Linked DNA regions of Arabidopsis thaliana. The protein of the gene in region 1 binds, or shares a complex with, the protein of each later gene. Each region holds a gene or a part of one and is shown on either strand. Other genes may lie near its edges. The genes, in order: RS2Z32, SMU2, U2B'' and SKIP.

Region 1 (4,976 bases):
AATCTGTTCTCTGTGATTAGGACTATCATATTCATATGCATTCTTTTTCTTTTGGCAGGTTCGAATAAAGAATCAGGCACCGAGAAGGAAGAACAAAAGGGCGGAATGCATCCTGGAATTGTGGTACTGATTGTAGTACTCTTGTTAGGTGTAGTTGCGGTGGGACTCTTGGTAGGTTACAAGTATTGGAGAAAGAAGAAACGGCAACAAGAGCAGGCCCGGTTTCTCAAGCTGTTCGAAGATGGTGACGATATTGAGGACGAACTTGGCCTTGAAAATACCCTATGAAGCCAAGTTTAATGTGCCACAGTAATTCAAAGTTTATGTACATACATACAAAACGTCTTGATCCTCCTCACAAGCATTTTTGTTTTTGTCGGACATAGAGAGGAAAGGGGTACAATGATACATACAAGCAGTTGCTTCATCCAAAGAAAAGTCAATGTTGTTATTTCTTTTGTCATAACTGTTTAACAATTAAAGAGGCTAAAAGAAACCCAGACTGCGATAGTTAAATCCTTTTTCCTTTACTTACCAAATTTTTTTTTTGCCAAAAAAGACATTACGAGGTGCTTTATTCTTTACTAAACGATCCACAAGCGAGAATTTCATAAATGCATGATTCTTACTAAACAATGAAAAGTAACATCGCAGAGTTTGAAAGTTGTCGGAAAACAAACCAAGAGTCATCAAGAGAGAAGGCAAAGTAACATCCAGGATTGTCACGCAACGAAAAGAAAAGTATCACGCAGAAAGAAAGGGAAAGGAAACAACATCCTTCAGTACAGAATGCTACATAGAGCTTTTAACCTGTGAACCATCAAGGTGACTCACTGCCTTTAGGGGAAGGACGGCTAAGCTCAGCCTCATCATCAATCGGGCTCCTGTCTTGACCATTAAGTCCAACAGGACTTTCACCACCTCCAACAATGGGACTCGCAGAGTTCCTGCCATTACCATTCTCTTTTGGGCTACCATCATAGTCTGATCCACGCTTTGGGCTTGCATCTATCACTTTTCGGTCTGGACTCAGGCTTTGGTCCCTACCTTTGGGAGATACAGATCGCTCCATTGCCTTAGGACTGCGTGATCTGTCCTCCACGCTTTTCTCTCTTCTCACTGGGGATCGCGATCGACTGATGAACAGAGAAATAAAGAGTCAACCAAAGGGCATAAGCCATGGAATTAGCGTTGTCAACATACTTAATAGCTACAAAGTACGAATCATTTCTACAATATTAAGGGAAAATAGTTGTCTACGGGACATGCTTAAAGATCAAACTAATATAGTTCCAGAAAAAGCTCAGAATTGCTCTAAGCTTTTTACCCCACATATGAAGCTCAAAATATGAATTTCTAGGTAAGTTTTTTGGTGGCTCTCCTATTGTATTCCGTATTTGCATTTATAAGACAATTTTCGAGAAGTCCAAATTCACAACTGACCTGTAGCTGCGACCTCGACTGTAACTACGGCTACGGCTTGGGCTCCTTCGGCGACGAGGGGAGCGGGATTTGACTGGTGACCTGGAATAGCTTCCACCCTGCCTGGAGAATTATAATCCAAAAGAGATATGAGAAGAAGCTTAAAGAATAGAACAAACTGTGGAAAAACAAAGATTCAAAGATTTAGTACCTGGCCTTCTTTGGACTAGGACTGTTTTTGCAGTTTCTCTCAATGTGTCCTCTTTCACCACAGCGGTAACATTTATTCTTCCAGTCTCCTGCTGTGCAGTCTCGGGCCCAGTGGCCATCGACACCACAATTAAAACAGCGACCAGAACCAGGAGGTGGGCCTCTGCTACCATTGTCCCGCGAACCACGAGGAGCCTATCATAAATTCAAAAGTTTGGCAAGATATCAGTAATTTTTCATCCAAATTATCAAGCCAATGGAGAATCGGTAATACAGACACAAATAACTAACCCCTCTTGATGCCTCCACAGTGATGCGACTTCCATCGAAATCCCGTCCATCCAAGTAATATCTTGCGTCATCAGCATCACGAGGATCACTAAATTCCTGTTCTCAAAATGTGAGGGACAATGATAGATGCATAACATATATATAAAGTTTGTGCGCATGACAAACTTGAGAATCAAACGCTTGAATAAAGGAAAAGGGTAATATAAGACTTACAACAAAGGCATAATCACGCTTCATATCCACATCTCGTACTCTGCGTAAATTGTTGCCAGAAAATCAAGGCCATCATTACTTAAGGAACTTCCAAACACCAGTTTTTGAGATTTGAGGCCATTTCCAATAAAAACATGCAATAAATCAACAAACAAAATCGCCGATGCACCCTCTATACACCAGACGAGAATTTCCACCAATTACACCACAGTCCACCCATTCATCAAACATCTCCAGGTTAGGCAAACCCCCAGAAACCTTCAACAAGATCATTCAAGTTAAAGAAAAAAAAATCCACTAAACCTAGCTCCACAATTTTCCCACATGTACCAATGCAACGTTATAAGTAAAAACTACCCTCTTTGATTCTAATGTTAAACTTTAGGTATATATCCCCTGCACAACATCAAAGAGGAATCATTCCAGATTCACACCAAAGAACAATTAACAAAAAATCCAAACACTTATCTCCCCAAGAATACAAAAGTCAAATTAGGTCAGTCAAGACAAAGGAATATGACTCTTTACCTTCCGTATCTGCTAAAGAGACGCTCAAGGTCTCTGGTACGAGTTCTAGATGATAAGCGACCAACATAGAGGCGAGTGTTTCCATAGCGATCATCATAGCGAGGCATTGTCAAGCTGCAAAATATTTTTAACATAAGCTATTAGGCACATATGTATATATATATATATATATGCCAATCACAAGAAAAAGAATAACAGTATCCTCTTCAAATTATATAAACAAGAAAAAGACCAGAGAGTTAAAACACTACCTCAGACCTAAACATAGAACCCATGTGAATATCTATGATTTTTCAGCAGAACACAAATCCAAAAACAAAGAAACCAAACTGAATAACACATTCAGAGGCGAAAAGAAGAAAATTTCGTGAGGGGAGAATATAAATCTCTAATCAGATTAGACAGAAGGAAACCTATAAAGGAAATCTACGGCGAGGAAACGAGAAACCAATTGAAATCCCTAATCTAGAGAGCGAAGAACAATAAAATCGTAACCCTAAACAGATCCAATTACAAAGATTCTTCCTCGTACCTGGAGAGACGAAGAAGGAGAGTGCAAATACGCAGTAACCCTAATAATTTCGAAACGAAGGAAGTGAACCGCGGATGATACTGCGATTAGTCTTCAACCCCTATCTTATAACTTGGAAACCGACGAGATTCAACGGTAGCGATTTGTTTCAATCAACGGTTTAGATTTCACGGCGAGATAAACGTCGATATTACCGATATAGAAAATAGAAAATTGCACACTTTCCAATTTAGTACTTTTATTGGGCCTTATATCAACTCTAAAGCCCATTAAAGATTTAGCAAACATATGCAATTTCGTATTAATCATAAGTATTAAGTACATCATAATCATTGGTCAAGTTACTCTAATAATTTTCTGTTTTGTAAATCAGCGACGCTTGTTCTTGCTTCCGATCAAGAGTGTGAAGTAGAAGAGAACCCTAAAGAAGAATCCCCAAGCTACAGTGATCCACAAGCAATTCCATTTGCTTATCTCCGTGATTCCTTGCTGTTTCAGTATATCGATTCCCGTCGTTACGCAAGTCTCCGCCGTCACGTTGATCCCCAAAACGCCGCTCATGCTCTTCAGGAGGCTGATTTTCACGGCGGTTGGAACTTGTCCCAGCGGCGAATTGTCGAACATCTGGATCCCTCTGACGAAGCATTTCGTCGGATCTTCGAATTCGTTCTGTAGAACACCTTCGTAAGGGTATTTCACTAGGGAGAGGTAATGGAACCAGATCCAGTAGAGTGGGATTCGATCTCTAGAGATGAAGAATCCGGAGAAGAGGAGGAAATAAGCGAGGATTGCTACAACCACCGTGAATCCGATCATCACGTGTGAGACTACGCCGGATAAGAACGTCACGAAGGAACTTCCGGCCCAAAACGCGGTGAGGATTGTGAAGAAGAAGAAGAGGAATCCCTCGGAGCCTCCGGCGAGTCCTACGGCCGAGAATGTTGAGGCGGCGAATGCGGCGGATAAGATTATGAGAGCAGGGATGGAGATTATTGTGTGAGCGAGGACGTATGATGATCGCCGGTAAGCGTTGTAAGCTGTTTCTCTCATGAATATGTAACGTTCCTGTAGAAAGACTGGTATTGCTTCTGCACATGTGTAGAATGTTGTGGACATTGCGAATGCGAAGAACCCTAAGCGTTCTTGTATACCTCTTGGTGAATTGTCTAGTTTCCAGAATATTGTGGCTAGGATCATTCCGGTGACTAGTACAGCTCCTAGGCGGATTCCGAATAGCTCTGGTTGTCTTCTTGAGTTTAGTATAGATCGTTTACCAATTACGAGCATTTCAGTCCAGAATGGGTTTGCAAAGGTTTGAAATGATGATCTTAGGTTTGTTGCTCCGGAGACAAGCTTACCTCTCGAGATACTTGCGCTGATTGCATCTTTGAGAGATACATTGGTGTTTCTTCTGCTCTGGCTTGAGGTTTGCTTTGCTCGCCATTGCTTGTGGAACTCGACTAAGGATTTCGTTCCTTCTGGCGAATCTTCCAGCTCACGGATAAGATCGAGTGCAAACTCCGGCTTGTTCTCGTTTTCAGGAATTGGGTGACCGAATTCTGAGAAGAACTGAGGGAGGTGTGTCGGGGAGCCGCTGTAAACGGTGTTTCCCCTAGATAGGAAGATTAACTTATCGAGTAATCCCAAGATTCTGTAACTCGGCTGATGGATGGACATGATAACTATGCTGCCGCTTTGTGCGATTCTCTGAAGCACTTTGACAACCATGTATGCACTGGTAGAGTCAAGACCAGAAGTTGGCTCATCGAGAAAGAGAATA
Region 2 (6,423 bases), on another chromosome or scaffold:
TGAAGCTTGTGTTCCTCGTTGTTTAAAATGAGGTTTAATCAAACCCGCACATTAATAAAGATACAAACTTATCATAGTAGTATGAGTTGTTTCTGTTTTCGTATTACATCTGATTTGATAAGCTCTTTTAGAAAAGATACATATGTAATTGCATGAGAATCTTTAACTTCTTTAAGTACTGGAATAGAACAAGCAGTGGCTGTTTAAGGTAGTTTAATATTGAGAGTAGCGTTTCTTATACAATGCTTACATTATTAGCGGCTGTTGATGATTGTTTTGTTGATTTGCAGCAGCCCTGAATTTTTGTGTTAACACGTGAGTTTGTTTATTTTTCATGTAAGACAGAATGCCTGTAATTCTTGGTGATAAGGATTCAATCGACACATGGTTAGATGATCCCTCGACAACGAAACTGCAGCCATTACTTTCACCATATGAAAAATCGGATTTGGTATGCAATTGCTTACTTCCTCGCATATAAGAGTGGTCTTTCCTTTTTCATTTACTTGAGATTGAAGTTTGAACTTTCAGGTATGGTATCCAGTAACCTCTGCAATTGGTAAACCAACGTTTGATGGACCAGAGTGTATTCAACAGGTACGGTTAACATCTTTCCCTTTCTTAGTAGTGTACAACTCAAATCTCAAGTTTGATCTCAAGTCGCATTAAACATATTGTCAGGATCACTATGTATTTGTACAGTCTGTATGCTTATTGTCATTTCAAATAAGGATTATGCCACCTGCAGATACCGCTAAAGACTTCACAAAATAGCTTGATCTCGAAGTTTTTCTCAACAAAGCAGCCCAAAACAGATGAAGGAGACAAAGAAACCAAATCAACAGATGCAAATATCATAGTTGATTTGAAAAAGGAACCTACGGCTGAAAAGGACACGTTTTCTGACAGCATTAAGAAAATTGAAGAACTAGACGGGGAGAAAGATATGTCGAATGTAGCCAAAAATCTGGAGTTTCAAGAGATTGTGAAAGCAGAACCATTTGTTGAAGATAACTCAGCAGTTGCGTCACTTCCTGAACCTGTAAAGAATGATGTTCAGGAGGGTACAAAGGAAGAAGGCAAATCCCTAAAGACTGGTCTTACTAAAGAAACAGGTGAGAGCAGTGCCAGTATACCGGCTGAGTCCTACATCCTTGATCTCCAAAGAATCTCAAAAGAAGAACCCGAGACTCAAAGCCATCATTTCTTTACTGCAGATGAGAGATTGAATCAGCTGCATGAGGCTGTCGAAGATATTCCAGGAAATGAAAACCAGAAGACAGTTTTAACTAGCCCGACGACGAAGGAAGGTGGCTTAGTGTTTAGCGAAAAGAGTGGGACAAAGCGAGACTATGAGGTATTCTCAGCTCAAGAAAAGCCACAGAAACACTATGAGAGGTTGCAAAATGTTAAAAGCAGTGGGAAACAAGGAAAGATGCATGGAATGGGGAAATCTAACATCAAGAAATCTAAGGAGACGCAGTCTACATTACATTTCTTTTTCGATGAGAAATAGTTTTGAGTCTACATAACATCTATGAGGACCATGTTGGCCTACTTTTGTTGTAGATAATGTTAGATAAGACCATCGTTTTGGGAATGTTGCTTGTATTGTATGTGTAGTGTTTGATCTTTGATCTAAGGTAATATTATTATGAATGAATTGGGTTTTTAATGTCCTTGGTGGATGGTAAAAATTTGTGAACCAGGTTTCGATAATCAAACCCGGTCGCTAAACGATTTTATCGGTTTAAATTAGATCCGGTTTCTAAATTAAACATCGAATTCTAATTTCCCCTGACCAGAACCACCAACGCTTTGAAATCGAAACAGACACAGATATCATCAGAACGAAGAACTTCAGCCAAAATCTGATTTTTCTCTGTTTCACGACAAGAAATCGAATTAACGAAATCTAATGAAACCTTCAAAATCGCATCACAAGGAGAAAACCGCTCGTCGGAGGTCAGAAATCTTCATTTTCCTCTCTCCCCTTTTCTTCAAAAGCTAGGGTTTTTACACAAAAACATCAAAACTCGTCACTTTTCCTTCACAGAGAGGAGAAACTAGAGGAATCCGATAATCCAAAATACAGAGATCGTGCTAAAGAAAGAAGAGAGAATCAAAATCCTGATTATGATCCATCAGAGCTTAGTTCTTTCCATGCCGTTGCTCCTCCCGGAGCTGTCGATATCCGGTAGCACTTGTCTTTCCTCGATTACTTCATTATCTTTCTAAATTCTAATTGGGTTTCTCTAAATTTCTGTTGCTGTGTACTTTTTTTTGTTGTAGTGCTGCTGATGCACTTAAGATATCTATTGAGAACAGCAAATATCTTGGAGGTTTGTGTTAGGTTTACAAATTTATTCAAAATGTTTTTTTTTTGAGGTGCTTATGTTGTTTTTATGATATGGTTTAGGTGATGTTGAACATACCCATTTAGTTAAGGGTTTGGATTATGCTTTGTTGAATAAAGTACGAAGCGAAATCGTTAAGAAACCTGATGGTGAAGATGGTGATGGTGGGAAGACTAGGTAGATTTGGTTATACTTGGTTTATTGACTCATTTGGCTTCTTTGATTCAAGTGCTAATTTTACTATATTAACAGTGCGCCTAAGGAAGATCAGCGAGTTACTTTCCGTACCATAGCTGCAAAGGTATGCAATTTTGTTCTGAACTTTGCAGATGAGGAGCAAGTTTTGGGATGTAGTTAACGCGCTTGATGTTTTTTGTTTCTCTTGTCTTTGATCTGTTTCAGTCAGTTTACCAGTGGATTGTTAAGCCTCAGACTATCATCAAGTCTAATGAGATGTTTCTTCCCGGTAGAATGACATTTGTCTATGATATGGTATTGCTTGTTAACTCTTTTTCAGGAAGATTCAATCTTATTACATGTTCTTATGTCGTTGTTTGTCTTAGGAAGTAGTCATACATGTGTATTCTGCTTCAACGATTCTTCTTCGAGTATTAGTTAATATTTAGTTAAATCTTCGCTTCTAGTTTAAATACATGTCTCAGGAAAATTTTAAGAAGGTAGCTTAAGCTGTTTTGCATTACCTTGTTAGCGATTTATTCACGATTTAATCTATTTGTTAGAAACCTTATACGCAGAATTGGTTGTAAAGGTTTTTTAGTTCGATTAACGTGTCTGCTCTTCTTGAAGAAGCATATTCTTTTTCTCTTGCAGATAGAGACACCATACGACAAGAAAAGTCAGTTGAATATACTATTGATATTTGGTAGTGTTACGTATGAAGTTTCCTTTGAGATACTTAGTCTCAGCTAAGCTGCTAGGCTAAGCTTATAGTATGGGTTTAGTCTGCCCTTTGAAAGCCTCCCTGTTGATGTATATTAATTTTATTCCCTTTTGTTTTTAATTCTATTTGTTGCTTTTCAGGAAGGTGGCTATACCCATGACATACCGACCACGTTATATAGGAGTAAAGCTGACTGCCCGGTGCCCGAGGTATGTATACTTAGAGTCCTTGTTGTAATAGTCTTCTTGATCCTGGAAAAATCTTTAGACTGTAAGCAGTGATGTGACATGATCGTTTTGATTCTAATGAAAATAAGCCCACTCTGCCTGTCTCTGCAACCTATTTTCTTTTACAGTGTTGATGTATTCAATACAGCTAATATCGATTATATAAGTCATTAGTTTTGGTAGAAGCATAGATTTTCTTTAAGTAATTATAAAAATCTTTTTAAACTAAATTCAACTTTCTTTCTACTAATCTGGAACCAAAATTAACGTTGCTTAATATGTTTGTTTACTGAACATAATAAAAATTTATAATTGAAATCACTGCTGCAATTTTTGCGAGAATTGTTTCATTTAACAGGCACTGTTTCTCTGTCCTATCTCCCCAACAGGAATTTGTCACAGTCAATGTTGATGGTTCTGTGCTAGATCGAATTGCTAAAATCATGTCATATCTTCGCCTTGGGTCGTCGGGGAAAGTTCTCAAGAAGAAAAAGAAAGAAAAAGATGGGAAAGGTATTTTGCATCTACTGGTGCATTTTTTTGTAAAGTTTAAGTATTAGCAGACCTGATTCACTTACACTGGTTAAATAAGTTCTCTGCTTTTCCCGAAATTTGTTAATTATCTGGTCTTACAGTTTGGAGCCAAGAATGTAAAGAGTGTACCTAGTCTTTGACCACAGTACTAGTAGTATCTACTGATGTCTGGTTGTGTTCTCGCTTATCAATTGTGAAGAAATTTAGTTGTATCATAAATATGTTGCTGCCGTCCCTTGATGGTTCTGTAAACTCTGTTGTTAGTAATTTTTATTATGCTAATGTGGTGCCAGTACATGTTGTAGTTCTTGTTTCACATCAGCATACAATTGGATACAAGTTGGCTGGTTTCTGATTCTTTAGCAAGATAATTTGCTAATTTCTATTCTATCATACGTTCATGCATTTTTTATATTATTTTGCCTTATTAATCACATCCACTGCAACTTTTCAAATGCAGGAAAGATGTCAACTATTGCTAATGATTATGATGAAGACGACAATAAATCTAAGATTGAGAATGGATCTTCTGTGAACATAAGTGACAGGGAAGTTTTACCTCCTCCTCCGCCATTACCACCTGGGATAAACCATCTGGATTTGAGTACGAAACAAGAAGAACCCCCTGTTGCCAGGACAGACGATGATGACATATTTGTTGGTGAAGGCGTCGATTACACGGTTCCTGGTAAAGATGTGACACAGAGTCCTATTTCTGAGGACATGGAAGAATCTCCCAGGGATAAGGAGAAAGTATCTTATTTCGATGAGCCTGCTTATGGTCCAGTGCAGGAGAAGGTACCTTATTTCGCTGAGCCTGCTTATGGTCCAGTGCAGCCATCTGCTGGTCAGGAATGGCAAGATATGGTCAGTTCACCCTAGCTAATCCTTGGTTGTATTTATTCTCAAATCTTGATCCTCGTCTGCAAATTTTGCGTCTTGGTATGTAGTTATTAGATGTCATTTATTCCCATATTTAGGTTTTTTCTGGTGGTTGTGTGTTTTTCCAGAGTGCATATGGTGCAATGCAAACTCAAGGACTGGCTCCTGGGTACCCCGGAGAGTGGCAGGAATACCAATATGCAGAGCAAACTGGGTATCAGGAGCAGTACCTTCAACCTGGAATGGAGGGTTACGAGGTCCAACCAGAAACCGATGTTTTACTAGATCCTCAACTCATGTCGCAGGAAGAGAAAGATAGGGGTTTGGGATCGGTTTTCAAGCGTGATGACCAAAGGCTTCAACAGTTGAGGGAGAGTGACGCAAGGGAGAAAGATCCAACTTTTGTATCCGAGAGTTATTCAGAGTGTTATCCAGGTTACCAAGAGTACAACCATGAGATTGTCGGTAGTGATGAAGAACCTGATTTGTCTAAAATGGACATGGGTGGAAAGGTATGCCCTGACTTAATTACATGTTCCTTGTTATTTATTGTGGAAGAGCAAAATTACAGTATCTGGTTGTTGAATGTACATGGAACAGGCAAAGGGTGGTTTACATCGATGGGACTTTGAGACAGAAGAGGAATGGGAAAAATATAATGAGCAGAAGGAAGCGATGCCAAAAGCGGCGTTCCAATTCGGGGTAAAGATGCAAGATGGTCGAAAGACAAGGAAGCAGAACCGTGACCGTGACCAGAAGCTCAATAATGAACTTCACCAGATCAATAAGATACTTACGAGAAAGAAGATGGAGAAGGAGGGTGGGGATGTTGCTTCTTTGGATGCCGCCGAGGCACAAACTCCTAAGAGATCCAAGCATTGATTTGTCTCTTGTCTACTCCAGTCATTCTCTCGTAATCTATTTTGTATCTTCAAGTCTGTTTAGGTTTTTGGTACCTTGAGTTCAAATTCTTAATTTAGAAAAGATTTTACGTCCAAATTTTGAAATGATAGCATTCTTATTTCCTAATTACCCATTAAACACGAAGCAGTTTTGGGAGTTGGGACAGCCTTAGGTTTTAGGTTTAGCATCACCAAAAATGAGACGCTTCAGTAACCAACCCAACAAGACAAGCAAAAAACTAGAAAAATCATAAAACCCTAATCAGAAAAATGGCCACAGATTCCATGAATGCAGCCACCGTCAATGACTCCGACCGTTTCATCTTCTCCACACCTCTCTCCGCTCGTGGTTCAACCAAACGTGACGCCATCTCCGTCGAGGATCTTGGCCAATACACTCTTCTCAAACTCCATTCAAATCCGGTTTCACAAACTACATAGATCTTGGCCAATACAACGACGAAGATGACGATGTAAGAATCCTCTGTTTCACACCAATCTCCATAGAAAAGGGACAGTCCTCTGTTTGACCAATACAACGACGAAGACGCTCTTTCGACTGCGAGATATGTGTTGAACGAAAACCAAGGATTGAATCTTTTCGAATCAATGGCTGTTCT
Region 3 (4,518 bases), on another chromosome or scaffold:
TACTTTTTAGTTTTTTTTTTTGCATTTCAGTTTTGTGTGAAAAAAAAAACAAGAATTGGTATCTCAAGAACGTAAAAGAAAATTATCATTACTATTTTATTATCTTTGGCTTCTACATCCAATTATTTACTTGCTTAATTTTATTCATCTGAATTATTTTTTGGTGTAAGAAGAATGTTTCGCCGCAAAAAAAAAAATCTGATCCGACATCATTAGAACAAAAAAAAACATTGGCGTTGAATATAAGCTGCTTCTCTTGTTCTTCTTCTACCTTACGCTTCTGACTGTTATTAGAGACTATGTAAATGGCTGATTCCGAGACTCCGTATCACCCCGACCCTGAGGATCTCCGGCGTATACCAGTCGATCTCTTCGCTTCCAAAAAGCTTCCCGGACTTTCCTCCGGCGATCTCGGATTTGCCGATTCTTCCGAACATCTCGTCTTCATCCTCCGCAAATCTTCTTCCTCCTTGAAATCTCTCCTTGATTCCTCCGGAGTTCCTCTCTTCTCCATCTCTCGTCTCCACGTAAGCCTCCTTCGTCCCAAATTTCATCGATTTTGGCAATTCTCATCGCTACTTGTTTAAATCTCATTATTCATTACATAGTCCACACGATGTTTATACTTTTTGATTGTTTGGGTTTTGTTAGTTAGTCACTGGCTTGAGATATATCATAAGAACACTTACAGATCTTTGTATATGTATTGGAATGTAGAATGGAGTGTGGGAATTACATAAAGGAGATGTGGAAAAGCGTAAGGATTTGGTTCTAACGGTGAAGCGGACATCGAAAAGATTCAGTAAGACAGAGTCAGAGGTCTCTTTTGCTGGAGAATCGTCCGAAAATCTTGTTATCAAAGGTGTTCCCTTTCAGAAATCTTGTACCATTTATAGTCAAGATTCCATTGTTGCACAGGTAAAGATACTCATCTTCTCCCAATTACAGCACTATTGAACATTCTATAGCTAGACAAGAGTCAATACCGTGTTATACTGGTTTTGATTACCGGGTTCAAAACTCATCGTTTGGATCATGCTTGCTGATGGATAAACAACCAACCCTTTGTTTCGTTCATTTGAAGTCGGATTCATTAGGCTTGTAAAATTTGCTTGGATTCTAATACACTTGTTTTAAAGATTTTTGTTGTTGTTGTTGTGTTTGAACATTTGCCTCAATCTGATTTATGTTCCTTTAAATGTGGTGGCAGACGAGTTTGATGTACAAGCTGAGACAGATTTACGTAGGGAGAAGCAAGTTCCGGTTAACGATATTTCCTGGATCCATCGATCATTCACTAGTAGTCGCAATGGTTGCCATATTTCTTCAAGGATGAAAGTGAAACATCCTCGATTTATTTTCTCAGTGTAAAGAAAAATGTAACACAGAAACAAAAAGGCATTTTAGTACATTGCATTTTTAATGCCTTTTGATTCAATCGGCTCACACGTGAATTGTATTATCTATCACATGAATATTGAGATATACTAAGGTCTAAGGTTAAATCTTTTTTCAGAACAAATTTGCAAGCTCAGCTGGAAAAATACAACATCATTTACATTATTTTAAAAAGTTGTTGAACATTTGAATCAAAATGATTCACAAGACTTTTGTTGGAATTTTGCAATAAAAAAATTGATCTCGAGTCTATAAAAGTCCAATCCCGACCACTCATTCTATTTCCGGTTCAATTCTGTCTAGCCGGTCAAATTCAAATCCGGTCCATCCGGTCGGCTCATTCACGTTGGTACAAAAGTTTAGGAAATCGAACCAACAAACTAAACGGCGTCGTTAAATAGTCTGATGTTGAAACGCAGCTATTTCTTTTACTCTTCTTCGTCTCTCTCATTCCCAGTTCCCACCATTAGGGCTCTCTCTAAATTCCTCAGTCTCGAGAATCTTCATCGTCTTCACGAGCTCACTCGAAGATGTTAACGGCAGATATACCACCGAATCAATCAATCTACATCCAAAACCTCAACGAAAGGATCAAGAAAGAGGGTAAACTTCTCTTCTCGTTTAATCTAATTCGTCAAGTAAATTTCCAAATTCTTAGATGTTGAAACCTCCATGAACTTCCTGTACCAATGATTCAAGCTTCTACAGTACTGAATGTTAGGGTTTTTGCTTGTTTTTAGCTTATATAGAGTGTTCGTTTCTAAATACTAGGGTTTCAGAATCGTATTGAATCTAGTGACAAGGTTATAAGGAAGATATATATGTTGGTGTTGTCTGTTTTCGCCATTGTATGGATAATTGTTATAGACGTGTGAAGTAGTGTTGGCTCAGGGCAGTATCATCAATCTCATGCTTTATCTGACTTGGTTTTTGTTTTCTCAGAATTGAAGAGATCTCTTTACTGTTTGTTCTCTCAGTTTGGGAGGATACTTGATGTGGTTGCTTTGAAGACTCCGAAGCTCCGAGGACAAGCTTGGGTTACTTTTAGTGAAGTCACTGCTGCTGGTCATGCTGTTCGTCAGATGCAAAATTTTCCCTTCTATGATAAACCAATGGTCAGTATTTCATCACTCTTGAGTATATCAATCTCTTTATAGTTTCCATGAAAGTGATCTTCTATGTGTTGTATAGATCGATAGAAGCAAATCGTTAGTGTGTTTGTGTAATTGATTACTAACAATTTGTTTTGGAACCTTTGACCTTTTTCTATTCCCAATCCATTGGTAGTCATATATGTGTTTAGATTTTGTTGCTGTTGATGAGTAACCAATGATTAGTATCCACTACCTTTTCTGTCTTGAGTATATCAATCTCTGTATAATTTCCCTGGAAGTGATATTCTGTGTGTTGTATAGATTGATTGATGCGGTAAAAGCAGAAATCCTTAGTGTGTTTATGTGATTACCAATGATTACCTTTGACTGTGTTATTCTCAATCAACATTTAGTTATATGTGTGTTTGGATTTTGTTGCTGACCTTCTCAAATCACATTCTCTTATGATTTCTGTTGTCAAAATGTTTGTTCTGTTTGATATATACATTGTTTTTATAACTAAATCTTACCTCTTTCGATTGTTTGTAAACTATTCAACTACTTCCAATCAGGTTGAGATTTATTATTATTCATACTTTTTATGTGATCTTTTAAGTGCAGCGCTTACAATATGCAAAAGCAAAGTCAGATTGTCTAGCTAAAGCTGAGGGAACTTTCGTTCCAAAAGATAAGAAGAGGAAGCAAGAAGAAAAAGGTTTTAAACTTTATTTCTTCTTTTTGCATTTTGTCGTAGATGTTGGTTCAATGATACAACTATAAAATTTTCACTTGCATCTAAAGTTAACAAACTTCCTTTCTTACTTTCAGTTGAAAGAAAGCGTGAAGATTCCCAACGACCAAACACGGCTAATGGCCCAAGTGCTAATGGTCCAAGTGCCAATAACGGAGTCCCTGCGGTAAGTGTTCTTGTTCTCACCTTCATCTTCAGAAAAATCTTCCATTGTTGGATCATGTGAACCAAACTATTGTTATCTGGAGATGATGCTGATGTTTTGCGTTTTATCTCTGCTCTTCTTAATGCAGCCTTCGTTCCAGCCGAGCGGGCAAGAAACAATGCCACCAAACAACATACTCTTCATTCAGAATCTCCCACACGAGACAACAAGCATGATGCTACAGCTTCTCTTCGAACAGTACCCTGGATTCAAAGAGATAAGAATGATCGACGCAAAACCAGGAATCGCGTTTGTAGAGTACGAAGATGATGTTCAAGCTTCCATAGCTATGCAACCTCTTCAAGGTTTCAAAATCACTCCCCAGAATCCAATGGTCATCTCTTTCGCCAAGAAATGATAAGAGTCTTGTTTTTGTTTGTTTGTTGTCCTTTAAGACGATAGTACTGGACCAACCAAACCTGGTGTGTATAACCAACCAACGGTTCTATTGGTTAACGGATTAATCCGGTTTTGGTTTAATCATTGAAAGAGACCCTTGAAACGCGGTTTCACACTTGACGATTTATCACAAATTAGGAGACGACTCATCAAAAAAGAATATCTTACTGGTCAACCATTTTATAGAAATATTAAAATCAAAAATGATATTTAGGCCAAAGTAGAAAAAGACAAGAAGAGAGAGAAACAAAAAAAACCTTGCTCAATACGCCACCGTCGTCGTCTTTAACCCAATCTAAAAGCCTCTGTTCTTTTTTAGTTTTATCCTCTTTTTCATTTCAAGATCAATTTCATAAAAAAGTTTCCTTTTTTAGCGAATCCTCTGTTTTAGAAATCTTAAAGTTGTCTCCTTTATTAAAGACCATCATGTCTTCCACTTCTTTCACCGACCTTCTTGGTTCTTCCGGCGTTGACTGTTACGAAGATGATGAAGACTTGAGAGTTTCTGGGTCGAGTTTTGGTGGGTACTATCCAGAGAGAACCGGGTCTGGTTTACCTAAGTTCAAGACGGCTCAACCACCACCTCTTCCGATTTCACAATCTTCTCATAACTTCACTTTCTCCGATTACCTTGATTCTCCTCTGCTTCTCAGCTCCTCACACGTAATAAA
Region 4 (4,770 bases), on another chromosome or scaffold:
ATACAATGTAATGAACCCACTCTCGCAGAACTCATCTCCGACGAACCCTAACCTAACGGCGACGGAATGAAGCTCCTTTCCCAACGTAAAATCATGAATTTGAACGGCTGCTTTGATTACAATCGGAAGAGAATATCGATCGGGTAAAACAGTCGATCTCACCATACCGAGATATACTTGAATTGCATCGAGAGGAGACTCATGGCGAATGTAAGATCGCATGATGTTGTTCCATAAGAAAGCGATCGGATATTGATCGAGGATTCGTGAACGGAAGATGTCACCATGGATCCGACGAACACGAGCTAGGCTAGTGCAGTTTGATAACAGAGTAGCTAAGAGTTTGTTTCGATCTTGAGGCGAAAGAGGCGTAACCGAGGAAGATGATGTAGTGACGAAATGATTCAAACGGTGAAAGATCGTGAAGTGATTTGTTCTCTTAGTACCATGAACATGAAGCTTGGAGATAAGACCAGAGAAGAACATGTGTCTTTTTTGTTGTTGTCCTGATTCAAAACTAAGATTCTTAAGTACACAAAGTTGTAACAGTGAAAAAGAAACTAAAATAAGCTCAAAAGATCTGATATTATGAAGCTGAAAGATTGTATTCGAGTAGTTTAAGAGACTCACAACAACATAAATACTGATAATCCAAAGCAAACTGTTTTAACAGATCCAAAATAACAAGTTATATATTGAAATCAAAGATCAGTTACTGAGCTTTTTCTTTGTCTTGACTTTTAACGCCGGTCACTGCGTTCGAAATTGATCTTGGTTCGACCAGAACCGCCGTGGTCATCGTCCCTTGAAGAGCTACCACCACCGCCACTTGCTCTCATAGTTCCACCAGACCCGATCTTGTCCAAAGGTTTCTTACCCTTCTTTAAATCAGAAACCCACTTCTCAAGACCGAAAGGATCTTGTTCCTCTTCCTTCTCAAACTCAACAGGTCGGTCTCTCTTACTACCCACCCTCTCTGAAGCCCCTGTGAAAGCTTTGTCAGGCTTAAACCTCTCAGTATTCTTGATCTTATCGAGCTGCTCATCAGCGTTTCCATACATTTCTTCATCGTTATCCTTCTTTGGCTTGTACAAAGTCGAAAGAGTTGGTTGTGCAGTGAACAAGCCTTTGTCGTATAAGTTGTATTGGTCATCAGCAGCGAAACCAGAGTCCATTCCTTTGTCTTGGTTAAACAGACGTTGATCATACATAACTTCACCACCACCTTTTCCTCCAGTAGATGCCATTCCAAGAGCAACTTTCTCACTGATGTCACGGTCTCTGTCTCTGGTGATCTTGCTCTTCTTCCCCATGGCAGCATCTTTGGCATCCAACCTTCTCTCCCTCTCTCTTTCCCTGCGACGCTCTTCTCGTATCTTTTCTCTCTGAATCCTTTTTTCCCTCTCCTCCCTCGTCTCTTGAGGCTCTTCCCTTTCTCTTTCCCTTCCTCTATCCTGGTCATAGTTGTCATAATCACCTCTTGGGTCAACACTTTCACTCCTACCCCTGTCAGATGAGACAGGCATACTCATAGCAGCACCGGTTCTTTCGGAGCGAGCTTTTTGGGCAAGAGCCCTCAATTCCTGCTCTTTCCTTTCCTTGTCCTTCATCACCATCTCTTTTTGCACCTTGGAACGCATTGAAACAGCCTCTCTAGCTTTCTGCTCAGCTACATAGAGGGCCTCTGATAACTTGGCAAAGTTATCATTGATCTGAACGTCTTGTAGGCCCCTTCCATCAGCAGCTAGACGTTTGTCAAGAGGGATTGTGTAACCTTTCGGATTCTTCCAATTGGAGATACAAGGAGGGATTTTCCAGTCTTGCTGGTCCTTGACGGTAACAGGCCTGGGCGGTGAATGCATGACCGGAACAGGCGGAGAACCAGAAGCCCTTGGGACTCTCTTGTGCTTGAACTTTGGTGGATCAAGTGGATCTACAGGCATCTCCACCATCCTAATGATCCTCTCTTTAGCACCAGAATTGAAGGCAGAAGATTGCTGGGATGGCTTATATTTAATGTACTGTGAATCTCCCGATTGCCTTGCTATATTACTAGGCTGCGCTGCACTCAGTCTCACATTCACAATCTTCTCAATGGCAGCTTTCGTTTCTTCAGCAGTCTCCTGAATCTCCTTCTGCAATTCCTCCTCTTCATCAACAACAGTACCCAAGTCTCCCTCGTTTTTCAGAAACTTTGGAATAATATCCTTATGCTGAGAATAAACAATCTTCCTCGAGTTCTCATTCTGCCTCACTATAGCGTCAAAGACCACGTTTCCCTGAGCATCGACAGTAACAGGGAGAGTCTTAGCTCCAGGCTTATTGGATTTATTCTTACCCATAAGAAGAGGATACTGAGGAAGATGAATCTCCGGGAAAGCACCACCATCGCCAAAATCCTCTGGATTCTTCGGACGTAAACCTTGACGATTCAGGTAAGCAGGCACCACTTTAAATTTGATACTGGAGGATTTCACCGTCTCGGATTCAGTGACTCGGTTTTTGAACCAAGCATCATTAGAATGATCATAATACGTGGTAGTGGTTGATTTGGGCGCAGGAAGATCATTAAGAGACTTCATAGTCTAAATCAAGGTTTTCAACAAATCGCAACCTGCAAACAAAGAACAATAACGATCAGGACATACCTAATCCGTAATTACAACAACAAGCTTCTGATAATAAAAGTGACAGATCCTCCGAAATTAGGGTTTTCTAGCGATAAACTCGACGCGAGCATTAGATCCCGAATAATTCCGATTAAAATCTGAAAAATCTGGGTTGGATTCACTACAATAGAGCGGAAAACAAGTAGGGTTTAGGAATCGCTGAACATAGAGATCGACAAAAACCTAAAAACAACAGGAGGAAAGCAAAAAGCAGAATTGAATCTGAGAAATCGAAGAAGCTAACCTCTGAGGAAACTAATCGACGGGAAGAGAGATTCTGAGAAAGGTGAAACGATGTGCGAGGCGGCGCAGACCGATGAAGAACAACGAACGGAAGTGAAGCCTTTTTCTGGGGAAAAAAGAAATCGGGCGTGAAGCCTTTTCTAGGGTTGATAGGATTAACAACAAAAAAAAGGAATCAATTGTCTTATACGCAGTGTCTATGTAAGTCGGTTTAAAAATAGACGAAAAAACGAAAAGGATAACGTCGCCTGAGAGATTCGAACTCTCGCGGGCAGAGCCCATGTACTTAGCAGGCACACGCCTTAACCACTCGGCCAAAGCGACTTATTGTTTTTAAATCGAAGAAAGTTATATATATAACTATAGGTGTTGGCTTTTTGATATATACAACAATTCTGAGCATCTCATAATTATTTGCATTGTCCTTAATGAAAATCCGTCTCAAACACATTCCCATAGTTTCGTTTAAAATACTGAATTCAAGGTTAAAAGAAAAAAAAGTATAAGAATTTGGTGTTGGTACATCTCAACTGGTATACTGTTAAACCACCTCGAAAGGGAAGGTGAAAAAGTTCAGAATTCAAGTACCAATAGAGGAAATACTAGTTAGGCTTTGGTTTGTCTATCAAAACTCAAAGCAAGTGTAAGTTTCATATCAACAAACTTTCTTCTCTTTCATTTTTTTATAAAAAAACAATAGATTGATGGCGTTAGTTTGATATTTAATGAACCAATTTATGTTTTTCTAATCAACAACCAATTTGTTTGATATAAGGTAAAGAAACAAAAATGATATGAATGAACTACGTAGGCTATGTAAATAACGACTACGAGAGAGACTTAAATGTATGGTGAGAAATATTATTAAACATATATGTGGCCATGCGGGATAATGGGAAGGTTAATGGTTTTGCTTCTATGGAAACAACGGCATGGTAGTTAGTTTCCAGTTTTGGTGGACAACTTGGCGTGGTTGTGTTCAACGACAAACTATGGTCCTTGACTCCTTGCATTACACAACTCAAAACTCGGAATATACTTGAGTATATCATATGCATACAATTTTCAACTTTTTCTGTTAAATCGATTCATGGATTAGATGAACTATTTTGAGGGCTTTTCAGCATTCGATTAGGTTAAACGGCTGTTGCGATTATTATTTGTTTTCATAGGAGCTTATGCTATGAACAGTAATCATATAATCATTTGTATAAAAGTGTCTATTTCTGATCTAAGCACAGTAATTCATATTTGTTTAACCCCAAAAGCAAAAAATCATACATCCGTATATATATTTGAGAAAGGAAAAAACAAATAAAGACCGTGCTCGTGGGTGGAACCTCCGTTGACCGCGGATCCCAATATAATGGCCTTTTCCTACGGGATAGTTAGATGCATTACTAATTAACGTAACAATTAATTTTGATTCAAATCAATGTACGATGATTATAATAAATGTGTTAATTTAATCAACTTATGAGGCCGGTGTTGATTGATGTTTTCGTTGAGAAGACTCACCCAATACTTAGTTGATTTAACATTTTTTTTTTTTTTTTGTTACAAAGGTATTAATTTCCCCATCTAAGGATTGCGTATGAAAAAATATTTGTTCAAACATAATATAAGTTCGTTTTACAAAGATTAAAAATGAATAAAAAAAAGGTTTTAAATTTCACATCGTTGGATTTGCATATGAGTTAGTGCATGGACATGTTAAATTAAGGGTCAAGCCATTAATTATGTCTGACTAATGCAAACAAAGTCAAACAAGAGGAAATGATAAATAATCCTTAACCTGCAAATTCGTTTTGGTAGAACGATAATCTTTTACTTCTCTGGTACAAATTGTTTTTAATTA

The links.
Region 2: RS2Z32 (region 1) and SMU2 share a complex: the UniProt entries of both Arabidopsis thaliana proteins name them as parts of the spliceosome.
Region 3: RS2Z32 (region 1) and U2B'' share a complex: the UniProt entries of both Arabidopsis thaliana proteins name them as parts of the spliceosome.
Region 4: RS2Z32 (region 1) and SKIP share a complex: the UniProt entries of both Arabidopsis thaliana proteins name them as parts of the spliceosome.

The regions. Positions count from the first base shown.
Region 1 is NC_003074.8:19,833,737-19,838,712, forward strand, and holds RS2Z32 (RNA-binding (RRM/RBD/RNP motifs) family protein with retrovirus zinc finger-like domain-containing protein), read right to left. Parts: upstream 3,353-4,976; 5' UTR 3,197-3,352; intron 2,779-3,196; 5' UTR 2,772-2,778; coding exon 2,665-2,771; exon of another isoform or gene 2,177-2,664; coding exon 2,137-2,176; intron 2,020-2,136; coding exon 1,924-2,019; intron 1,828-1,923; coding exon 1,634-1,827; intron 1,546-1,633; coding exon 1,444-1,545; intron 1,137-1,443; coding exon 821-1,136; 3' UTR 504-820; downstream 1-503. Other genes in the region: AT3G53490 (valine-tRNA ligase), read left to right, coding at 59-288; ABCG20 (ABC-2 type transporter family protein), read right to left, coding at 3,566-4,976. UniProt on the Arabidopsis thaliana protein: Probably involved in intron recognition and spliceosome assembly.
Region 2 is NC_003071.7:11,254,409-11,260,831, reverse strand, and holds SMU2 (RED family protein), read left to right. Parts: upstream 1-1,761; 5' UTR 1,762-1,918; coding exon 1,919-1,965; intron 1,966-2,056; coding exon 2,057-2,197; intron 2,198-2,292; coding exon 2,293-2,342; intron 2,343-2,419; coding exon 2,420-2,534; intron 2,535-2,609; coding exon 2,610-2,658; intron 2,659-2,759; coding exon 2,760-2,849; intron 2,850-3,398; coding exon 3,399-3,467; intron 3,468-3,874; coding exon 3,875-3,998; intron 3,999-4,479; coding exon 4,480-4,886; intron 4,887-5,029; coding exon 5,030-5,413; intron 5,414-5,501; coding exon 5,502-5,783; 3' UTR 5,784-5,900; downstream 5,901-6,423. Other genes in the region: AT2G26470 (embryonic stem cell-specific 5-hydroxymethylcytosine-binding protein), read left to right, coding at 342-451, 532-597, 749-1,516. UniProt on the Arabidopsis thaliana protein: Auxiliary spliceosomal protein involved in splicing of specific pre-mRNAs that affect multiple aspects of development.
Region 3 is NC_003071.7:12,904,845-12,909,362, reverse strand, and holds U2B'' (U2 small nuclear ribonucleoprotein B), read left to right. Parts: upstream 1-1,697; 5' UTR 1,698-1,928; coding exon 1,929-2,001; intron 2,002-2,340; coding exon 2,341-2,513; intron 2,514-3,113; coding exon 3,114-3,207; intron 3,208-3,320; coding exon 3,321-3,409; coding exon of another isoform or gene 3,410-3,469; exon of another isoform or gene 3,470-3,536; coding exon 3,537-3,806; 3' UTR 3,807-4,018; downstream 4,019-4,518. Other genes in the region: AT2G30270 (LURP-one-like protein (DUF567)), read left to right, coding at 306-527, 718-918, 1,211-1,336; WRKY25 (WRKY DNA-binding protein 25), read left to right, coding at 4,274-4,510. UniProt on the Arabidopsis thaliana protein: Involved in nuclear pre-mRNA splicing.
Region 4 is NC_003070.9:28,999,051-29,003,820, forward strand, and holds SKIP (chromatin protein family), read right to left. Parts: upstream 3,086-4,770; 5' UTR 2,914-3,085; intron 2,791-2,913; exon of another isoform or gene 2,615-2,790; 5' UTR 2,583-2,614; coding exon 741-2,582; 3' UTR 527-740; downstream 1-526. Other genes in the region: AT1G77170 (Tetratricopeptide repeat (TPR)-like superfamily protein), read right to left, coding at 1-486. UniProt on the Arabidopsis thaliana protein: Splicing factor involved in post-transcriptional regulation of circadian clock and flowering time genes. Associates with the pre-mRNA of PRR7, PRR9, ELF3 and GI, and is necessary for the regulation of their alternative splicing and mRNA maturation.